2 linked regions of the Oryctolagus cuniculus genome follow. The protein of the gene in region 2 purifies or fractionates together with the protein of the main gene of each other region. This does not show direct contact. Links are inferred from orthologs where the notes say so. Each region holds a gene or a part of one and is shown on either strand. Other genes may lie near its edges.

Region 1 (4,494 bases), on a different chromosome or scaffold from region 2:
GAATTTGGTCTGAGGCTTGCTTTCATGCAAATCTGATAAGACTTGCCAGCTTTTCAGTGCGGCTGTCAGGCAAACAATACAACACAACTGCACCTGAGAGACATCTGTCTGCTGAATGCGCCCAGGTCGGGTCTCACCTAGCCCGGTGTCCACGCACAGAGTGTGTAAATGCTCATAGGACCGGGCAAGCAGTGTCACCTGTGACTTCATGGCTGACAGTGGGGACTGGGTCCCTAAGTGACCACCTACCAAGCATCCTCATCTGGAAGCTTCCTGGGGTCATCACCCCTGAGGGTTCCCTCCCCCTGATGTTCCTGTTCCCAGCTCCACTGATTTCTTGGAATGAGGAAGTGCAAGTCCAACCTTCAAGAAGCCCTGACGCTGTGGCCACCACAGAGGCCAGCGCCTGGCTCATTACACGCCTGCCCTTCAACATGGACAACAGGCTCTGACCTGGCCCACCCCTCCAGGTCCCAAGGGACAAGCCTATGAGGGAGGGTCACCAGGTCCCACAAGTGGACCAGGATAGCCCTGAAAGGAATTTCCAGCCACACTGGAGAAACCATCCTGAAGTAATGGGGTGCATAGCACCCTGCTAATGAACCTGGGAAAGCAGCAGCAGAGAACCCGAGTGCTTGGGCCGCTGCCACCCACATGGGAAACCAGGTGGGGTTCCACAGTGCATTTGCATATTAAGAACCAGCCCAGTTGATCCCAAGGGATTTCCATTTGGTGGCAGGTGAGGACTCCCTGACCCTGGGCTGTAAATCGAGGCGCAAACAGCTCAAAATATCACTGATCTTCCACCCATCCAAGCAACCCAACATCCCACAGAGCCGTTGTGGAGGATGGCACAGCTCCCAGAGGCCTCTGGGAATTCCAGACACTCCTGTCGGGCCACGGCGGTTTTCTGCCAGCAAGTTTTACCTAGAGGCACAGCCAGCAGTGTGTGTGTGCGGAGCCTAACAAGTAGGTTCTTGCTCACCGGCCTGGGGTGCTGTGGCTCTCTCACAGCAAACAGGCACTGCCTTAATGCATTTCAGTCCCTCCTGGAGGGAGGCCAAGCCGGTGGACATGGAAGCAGGCGCGGGCAATTTAGAGGAAACCATGCAGGTAATTGGGAGGACAGGAGCAAGTGCACAGGAGGAGGGGGTCTCTGGGTCTGCAAGGAGAAGGGGGTGTGGCTCCTCTGTCTGCTGGAAGAGAAGGCTTGAGCCTGGCTAGGCCCCACGGCAAAGCTGTTGAGGCTCCTGGTGCGAGGAATGGCGTCTCTGGGTGCACAGGGCCCTGGGGATGGCCGGGCAGCTACGAGGAGCCCACCCCCTGGCTCGCTGCCACCTGGGGACTGCTGTCTTCCCCCTCCCTGGACCTCACTCCGCTTGCGTTCCCTGGAGCAGCCTTCCCCTGTTCTACTCCTGAGAGCACTGTCTTAGGAGTCTCAGGAGTCGAGCACTTGACCCTGAATCTGCTCTTTCGCCAGCAGTGTGAGTACCACCAAGTTACTTAGCCCCTGGGAATCCCATTGGCAACAGGCAGATAATTCAGTCCCCGCCTCGCAGGGCGGTGTGAGGACAGAGCACCCTGTAGATGCCAAGGCGCTCAGCAGGGCACGGTGGGGACAGGGGAGCTGTCATCTGTGTCCACTGTAAGGACGGCAGGCGCCGCTCGGCCAAGCCCCCCCCCGCCCCCCAAACGCGCTGGCAGAAGCCCCTTGTCCTACAGACAGGGCTGTCAGGGCACTGGCGCCACGGCCGCCTCCGCTTTCCCAGTTCCTGGCCAACATGCTCCACTCTCCCTCCTGTGTGGCAAAGGGAAGCTGTTCTGCAATTTCACCGCCGTGGGCACTCTGGTCCCTGCGCCCGAGGACCTGGCCTCATCGTCTGGGACTCTCCAGGAACCGCCCAGACTTTGGGGAAACTTGACTGAGGAGAAACTGCCTGTGGGGACGGGATAGCGACCATAGCTCACCCACCTTCCAGGTCTTCTCCTAGCCGCCGCGCCCAGAGCTGCCTCCAAGTACCATGGGGAATAAAAACCAGCTGCGAGCAGGGGTTCCCACACATCCACCACCATCCTACACCGCTGCGTGATTCGGTGCCCCTCGCCCTGGTTCAAGGGTTGTTCTCAGTTTCAGGATGGATCCTCTCACTCCCAGAGGCCCCTCTGGCTGTAAGCACCCTGAGACCACCCCGGCTTCATGCCTACAGCACCCTTGGGCCCATGTGCCCCGGGTCACTTCTCCCGAGTTCAGCGGCCGCCTCCCTGGGGCCGGCAAGTAGACAGGGCAGACGGGGTGGGCTGCGGTCACGCGTGGTCTGGGGGTAGGTAGATTTTCAGGGATTCAGAGTTGGGAGTCCCTCTCTCTCAGACCACAGACCCTCCCTCCACCCCCCGCCCGCGCGCCAAGTCTCCACCCGGAATCCTGGCCCTGGGAGAGGCCGGCGAGGAGACGGAAGATGGAGCCCGGCCGTGGCTGCCCCGCGATTTGGGCAGGGGGCGAGGCGGGACCCCAGCCCCGCCGCGGGCAGCGTCCCCTTGGGGACGGCGACAGGATCGGGCGGCTCCCGCCGCCGCCAGCCCCGCGGGGAGCCGCCCAGCCCGCGCCATCCCCGCCCCGGCCCCCGCGAGGTCTCCGCGCCTGACCGGTGCGCACCCACCTCCTGGTGCGGCCGCCGTCCCCGCCGCGCCCGGCTCCCGCGCGCCTCTCAATTCTCCGCACTATTCTTTTGCTAGGGGACCTTTTTTCCGCGTTGCGTCAGGGCGGTTGCCTGGCGACGGCAGAGCTATTCCGCCGCCGGCCTTTCAGCGGCGACGTCGCCGGCCTCCCATTCAAGCCTCGGCCCGCGCGGGCCTCTCCCGGGACGGCCGCCGGGGTCCGAGCGCTCAGCGCCGGGTCCTAAAGCCCCCCGACTTCGCCTGCGCCGCCGCCGGGGGCCCAACCCGCGATGGGAGGCGGGCCGGGTGCATCCGCCAAATCCCAGACGAAACCAAACCCAAACATCCCATTTTCCTCATTAAACCCGAAGCTCAGGCAGTTTCCCCGCAAGTCTGGCACGTGGCTTTGCCCTTGTCAGCAATTTGCCTGCGTGGCGGGGCCGGGAACCCCACGCCTGGAGCCTGCCCTCCACCACCGGGGCTTGCTGGCCCGTGGCCCTGCCCAGGCGCCTGCCGGCTGCCGCCCTCGCAGCCCCACAGACGGGAAAGCAGCTGCCGGGCGCGTCAAGGAGAAGCCGGGCGCGGGGCTGGCCGTCGCCCCGGGAGGGCTCGCCTCTCGCGCTGCGCCCGCGGCCACAGGAGACCCAGACCCTACTGCGTCCGAAACTCGCACAGCAGCCAGGGCTGCCCGTGCCGGCCGGTCTCGGGAACCGAGTCCGGCTGCAGACAGGGGCGCTGGCCCACGCACACGCTCCGCCACCTCCCTGCCCGAGGGCTCTGTATGGGAAGCCGGCTTCCGTCACCAGCCAAGCACCTGTGATAGGCGGCTGGGGTTGGAAGGCTCTTTCAGTTATTCCACCTGCTGTTCTCAGCCACACGGGGGGCGAAGGCCGGGCCTTACCCGCGCACACACATCTAGAACCCGAGTGCTGGCCTTGCTTCTGTGGGGCCTTAGCCCCTCCCATTTAGAAGTCCTGTAGGGGACTTTGTGTAAGGAGACTCCCTGCCCAAGCAGCAGCCCCTGCAAGCGCACAAGTTAATCATTGTAAGCCAGCAGGTGCATTTTAACGGGGGTCGCCTGGAGACTCAGCATTGACCTGGATCTCGTGATTCTGGCTCCTAAACATGGCTCTAATGCTTTCCACTTCTTCCCGTCTCCCTACCACCACCCCAGCCAGAGGAGGCAACAGCCTGTGGACATCCACGCTGGGTGCCCTCCAAACCAATCATCATCCCTCCACGCCCAGAGCAGTCTATAACATGGAGCTCCCATTCCGGCTTCTCCCTGCTGAAAGGTTCTCAGAGTTCTACGATGATCAAACTTAGCCTGGCCTCGGTCTGCCTCTGGGACCTTGCCTCACACACATGCTCTGCTTCTCAGGTACTCTGCCAATCTCTGTACACAGGCTGCCCCCAGCTCCTGCCTCCTCAGGGAGCCCCAGGGTACCAGGTGCCCGTGGCCTTACCAACTCCTCTTCAAGGCCCAGTTGTAGTCCTGTCCTCCTCTGGGAAGCCAGGCTCTGGGAGGGCAGGAGGCTGGACACAGCCTTGGGGACTCCACATCCTCCCTAGTGCTGGCTGCCCCTGACCACAGTGCTGGGCTCGGCATGTGCATTCCTAGCCCTGACACCTGGCCTCTTGGTGGAGCTGTCCAGCCCACCATCCCCCACGTGCACCCAACTTGTTTCCTGGCTTCTGTTTCTGAAAGTGTAGATGCTTTCATATGGGGTAACTTGGTCCACTTTGTGCAGAACAGAATCCCTGAGACCAGGTAACTTAGAAAGCACAGAGAGTCAATCCTAGAGGCTGGCAAGTCCACGGTTGAGGAGCTTGCATTTG
Region 2 (4,384 bases):
TGTCCCGTGCACGACAAGAGGGAATTAACAGAAAGTCTAGAAAGGCAAAGGGAGCGCCTGCTGAGACGAGGCCCTGGGCAGGGACGGACAGCAGGTCTGCCTCGCTCCTGCCCCGCGGTCTCTCCAGGGACCAGAGCGGAGGGCCCCAGGCTGTCCATCACCAACAGGCTGGGGCTGCAAGCATCAGCTCCGTCCAAATGAGACGCTAGCTGTCGCATTTAAGCTGTGAAAAAAACCACCGAACACATGAAAAAAGTATTTTTACATTTGGTTGTATTTACTTGAGGAAATTTTAAAGTGTTTCATTCGCTCTGCTTCAAATGGCATCAAATTTACATTTTAAAAAAATTTGTTTAAAGAAATACACATGCAAAACAGAGCATTTCCAACTTTTAATTGAGGCCCAGGATTTCAGAGGAAGCCAATCAAATTATAAACACAATCAAAGGAAAATTAAACAAAAGTCCAGAGAGCTGAGCTGACTTTTGTCCGGCACGCGGGTGCAGCGGGAAGTCACGCTGTGCACGTGCATCAATGCCGCACCGCAAGTGTGTGCAGGACTCTGATGTCAGTTAGAAATTTAAGGGCCAGAAACAAACTCCCTTTGAAACTTCAGAACATGATAACCTACACTTTCCAAATTCCCTCAAAGCCTTCCCAGGAAGTCTCAAAATCTAAATGGAGTCAACTGCTTTCCCTTCTTACATGTCAAGAATCCTATGTAACTGTCCCTGGCTACCTGGCACAGACGTGGGAGGTGGAGAGAGGCCGGCCGGCTCCCCACTCCCCAGGGCGGCCAGTCCCTCGCTCCCCTGCACACAGACCCGGTGCCCTGCGAGCACCCGTGACCCCCACCCCGGAAGCTGGGTGCCTGATCACGCCCCACAGTCGGGTCTGAAGAACAGCCCTCATCCTCCAGCGGAAGTCACCAGGCCGTGCTACTGCACACGGCCAGCGAAGGCCCTGGCTCGAACCATGCCGTGAGTCACGGCGGCGGCATGCACTGCCTCGAGATTTTCATGCTGCTACAATATTTTTTTCTAAGATTTTATTTATTCATCTGAGAGGCAGAGTTACAGACAGTGAGAGGTAGAAACAGAGAGAAAGTTCTTCCTTCCATCGAGCCAGGAGCGTCCTTCTGGTCTCCCACGCGGGTGCAGGCGCCCAGCCGCTGCGATGTATTAACGGCAGCAAAGCACCACCTGGAGAGTCCCTGCAGTCATGCAAGTCACTCGTAACCGGGATCTCCAGAGAGCCAGACCCTCAGCACACAGCTCTGCCTCTGCGCAGCCTCGCACAGGGACTGCCGGCACACGCCTGGACGCCCTGCCCCGGCGTCCCGCACACCGCACCAGCTAGCCCAGCCCTTCCTCTGCACCAGCCCAACCGCTGAGAGGCCCGGCCGTCCGCGTCCCAGAGGCCCCACCCGCAAAGCAACCAGAGCCGTCCACTGTTCGGCTGGACATCAGGGCGTGGATAAGGAACCCCGGAACCTGGATCGGTGGCCCTGAAACAGCAGGGCTGCTCCACCACATCCATCCCACACCGAAGCGCCCACAGCAACTCCAGCTCGAGCACCGCGGCGCAGAGGGGGCCCAGTGCGGACCCCACTCACTGTCTCTTCGCAGAAATATCAGCTGCGTGGGCCCAGAGACGAGAACTCGCGGTGCTGGCTGCATGGTCGGCACCCAGCACCAAACGTGGCCCAGCGAGACGCCTTCCCGAGGTTCGGCCGGAACGGAGGCACTGCTTCCTCCTCCTCCGTCCTGGGTCTCTCCGGTCTCACCTTACACTCCCACCAGCCTTCGGGATTCTAACTACCCCGTAAAGCCCTAACCAACCTGCCCACCAGCATCCCGGGTCAGCCTGGCGCCGACCGCGGCCGTACAGGTGCCTCCGCGTGCGAGGAGCAGAAGCCACACTTCCGGCTACCGCCAGGGCACAGGGGTCTGGCACAAGTACAATAGGGGGAAACCAACCGGCTCGAGCATGGCGCAGCCGAAATAAAGCCTTCAGCCTTGACACGCTCTCAGAAGGGCTACGGCAGAGCGGGCGTCCAGGGCCCTGGACAGCAAGGGGACGCAGCCAGGACGTCACCTGCAAGGGGCGGTCGAGCCGGACCCCCGCCCAGGAGATAGCTCCGCGCCGCCCGCGGACCCCAGAGGCGAGTGCGGGGCGAGGATGCGGGCGGATGTCCCAGGGAGCTGCAGGAAACGATATCCGGACCCGGAGGGTGGGTCTCGGAAGCCGCCAGGCGACGGCCGGGCGGGGGAGGGGATGGGAGCCGGGATGCGGCGCGCGGGGACAGGATGCGGGGGCGCGCGCGGGCGCGGCACTTACCCCACTCGAGGAACTCGGCCACGTACTTGTCGCGCCGCAGGGCCGAGTGGCTGCACTCGGTGTACAGGCACACGAGCACGTCGAGCAGCGTCTCCACGCTCAGGGCGCTCTCGTTGCGCCACGGCCCGTCCAGGAGCAGCTGCTCCAGCTTCTTCAGCCGCACCTTGGCCGACATGGTGCCGCGCCGCCCGCTCTCCCCGCACCGGCCACGCGCCGCCCGCTCGGCCAGCCCGTCAGCGCGAGCCCCGGGGGGCCCGGCGGCCGCGAGTCCCCTCAGCGCCCGGCCGCCGCCCCGTCCGCGTCGCCGCGCCCCGGCCTAGGCCGACATCTTGGGCTCCGTCCCCGCGGCGCAGAGTCTGAGGCGCCGGGCCCCGCGGGTCCATGGGCCGGCCTCCGCCCCTCGGCCACCGCCTCCCGCCCGCCCGGGCCTCAGCCCCGCCGGCGGCCGCGCCCTCACACGGCCGACGCCGGGCGACGCGGAGCCGAGCGCTGCGCAAGCCCGGCCGGCGCCCGAGCCCGACCCCAGCCCCGACCCGGCGGCCCAGCCCCGCGGCCCGCAGCCAACCAGGGCGCGGCCAGCGCGGCGCAGCCAACCGCGGCGGGGCCGGCCCTCGCCGCGCTGACCTCAGCGCGCCGCCCCGCCCCGCCCCGCGCTCGCGGCTGGCTGCTGCGGGCTCGGGCCTCGCCGCTCGCCGTAGCCAGACCGGACGCCGGCGGGGCGGGTGGGCCGCCGAGATTGCGGCCGGCGCGTGCGCAGAGCGGCCGGCCTGCGGGGCGGCGGCGCTGGGCGCGGCGGGCACGAGGGCTGGCCGCGCGCGCTGCCCGGGAGAGCGGCCTCGGGAGGCTCCGGCCCGGCCGGGGCGTGCCGCCCGCGCGTCGGGAGCGCGGGATGCCCCTGCCCACCGCGCAGCCTGCCCTGCCCGCAGAGCTGGCGGGAGGCGGGCCGAGGCCCCGCGCTCGCTGAGGTTGCGGGTGTGTCCGGGTGGCCAGGGAAGGCGGCTGGCGGAGACCCCAGCCGCACCGCCGCAGACCTTTGGCGTCGGGAGACTAGGGCTCCGGGCGTTTTGGGAGTGGGAGGTCGCGGCGGGGGGCGGGCGGCCGGGGGCAGAGCCGGCCCTGGAGATGGGAGTCGGAGGACGGCCGCCTCCGGAGGGGGTCCCAGGGCAGTGCGGGCTGCAGGCCAGGTCCTGGAGCTCGGTCTGGGTGCGGGGTACCCAGGGGCGTAAGTGCACCGCTCTCAAGCCGTACGCTGCCGGCAGTGCGAGTCCCCGGCATCTGAAACGTTCGGGCTCGGCCACCTTTGGGGGCGCGAGGCTGGAGGGGCTCGCAGCGTGCCCCGGCTAGGTCTGGCCCGTCCAGTTAGGTGGAGCTGTTCGTACACAGGTCACGCACTGTACCCTAAATATTTGTTCGCTGTACCGTGTGTGTATCAAGTCTCAATTAAAATAATAATCCCTAGTCGAAACTCGCGCTTTAGGATAGAGCCCAGACTCTGCCGTGGCCCCTGGGGAGGGTGAGCAGACTCGGAGTCTGGCCAGGCCCCCAACCCCCCGGTTTTCACCTTTGTCCCCGGGTAGTGACCTCTGCTCCCACGAGTGTCCCTGTGGACAGCGTGTTCTGCCGCCTGCCCAGCCACACCCCCTTTTCAGTCTCACTGTCCTCTCGCTGGACCTTCGATCCGCCGGCCCTGCCGCTGCTGGCCGTGCTGCTCCTGCAGCGCAGCCTTGGCCGGCGTCCTGGGCAAGACCAGGCCCCCCTGTCCCGCCCAGCACCTGGCACCGTGGGTGCCTGTGAGACCTGCCCGTAGTCTGGAACCACACATCTTCCTGTCCCTCAACGAGTGCGGGCGTAGTAAAGAGAATAACTGGACCTACCTCTGCATTCCACTGAGTTTGAGACAACTGAGTGGGTTAACACCCTTGGATCAGTCCATACTGGGCCTGAGTGCCCGCACGCCAGTGGCGTTTTTTAAGACATTTATCTGAAAGGCTGAGTGACAGGGAGAGGAGGAGAAACAGAGAGAGAGAGAGATCTTCCATCTGCT

What was found.
Region 1: the proteins of CDC42BPB (region 2) and FAM167A purify together in Homo sapiens (co-immunoprecipitation; 3 studies listed by BioGRID and IntAct, counting the BioPlex papers as one, with this or other methods). This does not show direct contact. The link is inferred for Oryctolagus cuniculus from reciprocal best matches to the Homo sapiens genes CDC42BPB and FAM167A.

What each region holds. Positions count from the first base shown.
Region 1 is NC_091433.1:43,032,390-43,036,883, reverse strand, and holds the start of FAM167A (protein FAM167A), read right to left. Parts: upstream 3,059-4,494; 5' UTR 2,658-3,058; intron 1,312-2,657; exon of another isoform or gene 1-1,311.
Region 2 is NC_091451.1:46,105,714-46,110,097, forward strand, and holds the start of CDC42BPB (serine/threonine-protein kinase MRCK beta), read right to left. Parts: upstream 2,898-4,384; 5' UTR 2,516-2,897; coding exon 2,341-2,515; intron 1-2,340. UniProt on the Homo sapiens protein: Serine/threonine-protein kinase which is an important downstream effector of CDC42 and plays a role in the regulation of cytoskeleton reorganization and cell migration. Regulates actin cytoskeletal reorganization via phosphorylation of PPP1R12C and MYL9/MLC2.